Saccharomyces cerevisiae S288C: one gene and its partner. Changing the gene in region 1 together with any one later gene gives a genetic interaction. Each region holds a gene or a part of one and is shown on either strand. Other genes may lie near its edges.

Region 1 (3,195 bases):
TTACAAGCTCGAAGAAGTGAGGAAGTTTAGGGCATGCCACATTTCAAAAGAGCAGCAGTATATGAAGAGCAAAAAAGAACTGGTAAATGGGGTCAACTTGTTGAAGAAACCAAAGATAGAATCCCCGAATATTCGAACAAAACTATAGCAAAGATAAGCCACTTGGACAATGGTTGTTTGTGGCCTGAGATAAAGGTCTCTTTTTCTCATCATTTGAGCATACTTCAATCGATGTGTCTTCATTTTATTATTTCTATACTTTTCTCCAAATATATCTTCGTTTTTCTTTTCGCTTTCCTTCTTCCTTCTGCCTTTCCTCTATTTATTTTGCACTCCACTCTTTTCCGTAAACCTTGCCTATCTATTATTGGATTTTTGAAAACTAAAGTATAAAGGTATGTCATAAATAATTAAATAACAAAAAAAATAGGATCATGATACAAAAAAGTGCCTTCCCCTTAGCACAGCTGATCCAACAATTTTAAGAGCTTGAAAAGCAACCTATACGTAGTTTTTTTGGCGACTGGTAAAAAAGAACTGAATAATTAATGCCTGCACTATACTGATACCAACCATTACCCCCATAATTAGTAATGAGAGCCATGTTAATCTTGACTCAGTAGAACTCACAGTATACATGTTTCTCCATTCTCTAGCCCTTAAATAATCCATTGTTTTGGTGATCTTATTCAGGTTCCTATCAATTTCCTCGATGGCGTTGTTTGCGATTATGTCCTCTTTGCTTTCATGGGAAGAAACAATTTCCTTTTCCTTTTCGAGGGTGATTTCAACTTTCTTTGGGGAAGTGCCGTAGTTATTACTCAAACAGAAAGTGTACTTACCTATACCAAACGACTTCAGTAGAAAATCAGAATGCTTCTTTTGTCTTTCAGTGACGATAACAGAGCCATCAGGGGCGGTAATATCGAAGTCTATCTCGAAATTCCCACCTGTCAAAACTTGGTAACTGACCACAAGGACATCTTTATCAGAGGATAAATCATAGTAAAGACATTCTTTGGTAAAAGCAGGTAATGATATGCCTACAGGAGCATAATTAGAGGAGAATGCATGTGTTAACAAAGATGAACTAAACAAAATCGCAATCAAAGTAAAAACGCGCATAATTCCTAGCGATGATTGGGAATATATATTTATGAAAAAACTTCACTAGCGCTCGTGAAACTACTTCAAAGGCAGCTGGGAAATAAATGTCTTCAAAGCAGAGAAGAGTTCCCAAATAGAATTCTCAGATCGTCAATCGCTCATCTTTGAGTATATCACGTCAAAAAACAGGAAACAGTGAAAAAAAAGTAGTCCATAATAAAGCGCGTTTCCGTCAATGCCGTTGGTTAATAAAGAAACAAATATGTAAAAATATAATATAAACAGGGCACTTGAGAGAGCACAAAAAAGAGCCAAACGCTACCTGATACTTTTATAGTTTTGATAATGGGGTTCTACAACTGTAGATTCCTGTCCAGACGTCTATCTGTTGAGCCTTGCAGAATAGGTAGCGCCGCTAAAAGCTATCAACAGCGATCGATTTATCACTTTGGCGCTGCTCTCACAAATGCCCCTAGTGGAAGAGAAACACCAGACAAGCTACGTTCTGACCTGCATAGTGCTTTAGAGATGGTCGATGAAATATATGACACAAATTCGACTGTAGAGGACATTGGAAACAAGGAAAAGGGAGGTCGACAAAAATATACGGAAGAAATGGACAAGGCGATTAATCTACTGAAAACAAATATAAAGAAGGAGTATAGACATGATAAGTATTTGGAGCGGACAAAGGTAGGAACGTATCCTGGTAGAAGAACATATCCTGGTAGGAGAACATATCCCGCTAGGAGAACATATCCCGCTAGCAGAACATATTCAGATAGCAATTCATACACTTTTCGGATAAATGTCCAGAAGATTAGGCACGCATTAGTACGTTACAATCAAGATGGTGTTCAAAAACACAACCAAAAGCCTCCTAGGATTGGTCATGGATTAACGAGAGTGTTATACCAACCGTTGTCGCTACAAAAATTGAGAGATAATAGGAGCAGAATGTATAATTTTGACCCTGCAGTGGAAAATATTAATCCAGAGTATTTGGAAAAGAAAAGTGAAAAAGATGTGAACACAGACTCCTCTGGAGAAGGACAAAGCAAGCCAATATTCATCACACCCCACAAAGATGAATCTCTGTTAAAGGTTGCCAAAGAACATAGAAAAAAGTACATATCTTCATCAAGTTCCATGACATCAGTACTTTCTCAGTTGCACTATTTATTATCCAATTTCAGAAGATTGAATATCATTGATTCCTCGATATCGAAAAATTTTCCTCAAAAAAACTGCAATTATTCAGAAAGTGCATATTTTCCGTCAGCAGTCATTCTGAGAAAGAAGAGAAATGGCATTTGTTCTATTGATTCAGATAGAAGTCTGGATAGGGAGATTGTGCTTTCTGTACTAGGTCATTATCTTGAAGACTTTTTAACGGAAAAGTCCCTGAAGAATAGTTCAAAAAGTGAAAATTATCACTATTCTAGTATAGATGAATTCATTGTGAGATCTCAATTGGACGCGTACGACCCAAATCTACCTGGAACGGGTGTATTTGATCTGAAGACAAGAGCAGTTTCTGCCATAAGATACGATTTATCACATGTAGAGAGTAATAACAACCAAACTGGATATGAGATAGATAAAGTTTATGGGGAATTTGAGTCTTTGGAAAGAGAATATTTTGAACTAATCAGGTCTGCCCTTCTAAAGTATTCTTTGCAAGCTAGAATTGGCAAAATGGACGGTATTTTCGTTGCATACCACAATATTTCTAAGATGTTTGGATTCCAATATCTACCTTTGGACGAATTAGATTATATAATCCATTCTTCGTATAACAGCAAATTCGACAGTTTGTTAAAGGAGAAGAATGATATCACAAAAGGGATATATGGTGAGGAGGACTACATTCTACACTATGACAGGGACGATAGGAAAATTGCTTGCTTGGTGGCTAATAGGGAATTTAAGATGTCTATGAATCTGTTCAGTAATATTTTGAAACACGTTGAGCAGTTACTTAACTCAAGTAATACGAAATGGGAAAAATGCAAAATAATGCTTAAAACCGAAGTTGAAGAAAAACGATCCAAAAGTGGCCGCTTCTTTAACGAACCGGTGCTAAAT
Region 2 (3,872 bases), on another chromosome or scaffold:
ACGCAATGGACTACATTCTCATGTGAAAAAAAGAAGTGCTGCTTCGAAGGTTCGCGACCCTTTCAAGGGACTCGCCGCGATGCAGAGAAAAAAAAAAGAAGAGATAACGTGGGGGCAGCTAAAAAAAGACGAATCGATAATGAGTCCATGACTTGAGCCGGACGGACTTATAATTCGATTCGGGCCTAGGCTTGTACAGCTGAAATAGTGTACAATATAAGGAACTAAACGATCGGAGACCAATCGGAGAGCCGGCAGTTGAATCAGGTGCTTCATCACTGGCATAACCTATCCGCAAACGGCTGATGCAGGTCTCAACGCCCTTCTGGTAAAATCAAAAAAAGTAAAAAAAACGGCTCATGCCAGCTTGCTTCCTGTCAATAGCGGTTGTTGATTTTTTCGCTTCATGCCTAAAAAGAGAAACGAGACACAGAGAGAAAACAAGAATCTAGATTAATAACGTAGGGCAGCGTAACAATAATTTACGCAGAAATGATGTGTATTATTAGGGCATAAATAAATAAATGTATGTATGTGTGTGTATGTATGAGTCGGTGAATGACTTTGGTTTTAGTGATATGAGTAGCCACATCCTTTCCCCACGTGCTTATTTAGCCAGACGTCAACGTTCGGAAATTGCAGTCCACAATGCTTGCACTTCCCCGGCACAACACCTCTATCTTCTTTCTTGGTCTTGGGCGGGTACTCGAAATGCAAAGCCTTTAGGTGATTCTTGAAAGTATCACAGCGCGAAAAAACGCCCGTTTGATGACAGTTTATTGGCTCGAAATAGAGTGATCTAGACTTGTGTGGATACACCTCCATATCCAAATTGATCAGAGTAGAGTTGTAAGGACACTTGAATGCACCTTTAATCTTGTATAGTGATTTCAATTGGTTTTTCTTCAGTAGTTTTGTTTCTTCGGAAGAGGATGAGGCAGCGAGTTTATCGTTTGAGTCGTCGCTGTCGTTGTTTGCGGAGGTGCGGGCAGTGTCATCTTGATCGTCAGCACCACTATTGTTGTCGGACTCCCTTGCGTATATTTGCATAAATTCATCTTTCCAATGGCGCTTCTTGTGCCTTATCAGATCATTGTTCCTGGCAAAGCCGCGTTGACAGATAGGGCACTTATGCGGTCTGTCCTCCGGAGTTAAATGAGTGGATTTATGCGTAGATAGGTTGGCGTAGAAGTTGTGGCAGATGGGGCATTCCTTTTTCTTTCTTTGCTTCGTTATCTTGGCGGAATCCTTTAAAGACGATGAATACCTGCTTGTATGTTCATTAGTCAATGGGGAATGAATAGACGGTAGTGCAGAGGCACTACTACTACTGTTGAGTTGCTGTTGCTGTTGTTGTTTGACGATCAAAGGTGGGAATCCACTAACGGGTAGGCTGGACACGGATTTTGATCTCGGTACGTTATCTACCGCGGTTGGCAATATACTCTGGTGTTGAGTTGGTGGTGAGGGGGTGATGGTTTTGAAACCCGTTGTGTTGTTAGGGTTGCAAAATGTTAGCTCATGTCTGTGATGATCTAGCACTGTTCTTGGCACCGGTGATGTAAAATTGGCATGCAAGGAATTTGATCTGCCGTTAAATTCTCTTTCTGCAACTGTAATTAAATTGGTGAAGGAGGATATGGGTGGCAAAATGACATGGCTTGAGCTGTTGGATGACAGCGGTGTTGGAGAAAGGCTATGAGGGAAATAGCATTTGGAATTATGTGCCAAGGCTGTATTGTCTGTAGGCGAACTCGTGATAGACTGGCATGCAGAGGAGTTATAAGAAGAGTATGATGTAGTTAATGGGGGAGGTGGAGGAGAATTCAGTGTAGAACTGAGGGTAGAGCGCGAAGACGACGTAGTACTGGACAACAATGGCAGTGATGGATCTATCAAATGGTGAATGGTGCCATTGGGAGAAGCCGTTGGGTTTGGCATTTTTTCTGGAGTATCTATAAAGGGAGGGTTTCTCCGTAAAGACATCGTCTCATGGGACATTACTGAGTCAATGCTTGATGCAAAAGATGATGATACCAGCATAGGGGAAGCCAAAGAAAAGAAGTAACAAATATTCCAAGCGCTCCAGTGTTACAGCTACTGCAAACCAAGAAAAGCAACTGACAAGAATTAGATATCCTAATCATAGGGCACCGAATTTACTTCCATGTTTTTTCCAGCTCCACTTAGAATATATATATAAATGTATAAAGACGGAAATATGCGCTTTTGAGAAATAGACAGAATAAAGAACGCACTGATGCAGCTTTAACTTTTAAGAAATGGTGCTTTTTTTTTCGCCCTCTGTTCCTCTGCGGATGGGAGCTATCAGTAGTAGAAAACAAAAGGAAACGAAGAAAAAAAATTGGAAAAGGGAAGAGTAAAACAGCGAGGAGAGCATTACGTACATAAAATAGGTTTAAGTAACCATACCACTAACAATGCCCCTAGGAAGTGACAATCTAGAGATATCCTTGAGAGTTAGCCACGGGCCGTAAGGGAAGGAAAAGACCAATCTAGCAATAAGCGCATGGGGGGTTTCCGACAGCCACTACCAAATTGTGTGGCAGCCAAGCGAGAATCAATGCGGCTATTTGAGATCTGTTCTTTTTCTATTCAAAGACTCGAATGAGGCCAACGAAAGAAGTAGTAAAAAAAATCCGGGATTCCCAATTCAGGTCATATCCGGCAAGACATTCCCGGATTTTATTTTCCTCAATGTGCTCGTGTAAGTGTCGGCCCGGAACTTGATTCCCCCCGGACTAATTAGAAGTTCCGAGAACGCGCGCAAGCCGTCCCGCGCGTAGAAGGCTAAAAAGCAGCCGGAGGAAAAAAAATAACGCAAATGTGGGCTCCCCTTCCCCTGTGCGGCCACGTCGTGCCTCCCCACCATTTGCCTCATATGCGGCCATTGCGTGTGGTGTTTTTTCTGCTCTTGTCACTGATTTTAACTACCGCGGGGTTTGACTAACAAGCAAATTGCAAAGCCGCGGCGGTTCCCGGAAAAAAAAAAAGGAAGGCCACGCTATTGGTAACCATGAAGTGTAAGGCGACGCAGGAGAGATGAAAAGAATGAAATTAAAAGAAATCCAAAAAAAAAAAAAAAAAAAAAAAAGAAAAAGAAAGAAAAAGGGGGAATAACACAGCCGCGGGTAACATGAAGCGGCGCGAGCGATACTTCCGTGTTAAGTGATATCCATCTTTCTGCGGGTAATAAGTCTAGTCAAGTCCGCTGTATTTTTTCTTTCGCTCTCGCTCTCTTTCTCTCTTCGCTCATGGAGCGGTAAAAAAAAAACATGCATATCGAGTCGAAGCCCAGCAAAATTAAAAAAAATATAGCCTTCAGTGGAAACCCAGTGATGCTCGCACACAACGTAATGGAGCATTGAAGAGCTACAGACGGTAGATAAAAAAGAAAAAGAAGCAATACAATAGGTTATTGCATACTATCATAAGCATACAGATAAAGGAGTTCTGCACATACGGTCCCTCTTTCTCTTCCTATTATTCTTCAGTCCCCTCCTCGCTCTTTTTAGATTCGACATTACAAGGTGAAATACTATTGAAGCTCAAAAACATCCATAATAAAAGGAACAATAACAATGGTATCTAGAGGCCCCGACGAATGGCTTGAAACAATAAAGAAATGCCAGGCGCTAACTGAAAACGAGATGAAACAACTGTGTGAAATGGTGAAAGAACTTTTGATGGAGGAAAGTAACATCCAGCCGGTACAGACCCCCGTTACTGTATGTGGAGACATACACGGCCAATTTCATGACTTGTTAGAGCTATTCCGTACGGCGGGTGGCTTTCCTGACGATATAAACTACATTTTTCTCGGTGATTACGTGGATCGTGGCTACTATAGT

What was found. Genes that interact genetically often act in the same process or in processes that back each other up.
Region 2: mutations in ERP4 (region 1) and STP4 together harm fitness more than expected from each alone (negative genetic interaction), as found in Saccharomyces cerevisiae (one large-scale study listed by BioGRID).

Annotation. Positions count from the first base shown.
Region 1 is NC_001147.6:359,960-363,154, forward strand, and holds ERP4 (Erp4p), read right to left. Parts: upstream 1,126-3,195; coding exon 502-1,125; downstream 1-501. Other genes in the region: YOR015W (uncharacterized protein), read left to right, coding at 34-393; PET127 (Pet127p), read left to right, coding at 1,453-3,195. UniProt on the Saccharomyces cerevisiae protein: Involved in vesicular protein trafficking.
Region 2 is NC_001136.10:366,169-370,040, forward strand, and holds STP4 (Stp4p), read right to left. Parts: upstream 2,044-3,872; coding exon 571-2,043; downstream 1-570. Other genes in the region: type 2A-related serine/threonine-protein phosphatase SIT4, read left to right, coding at 3,603-3,872.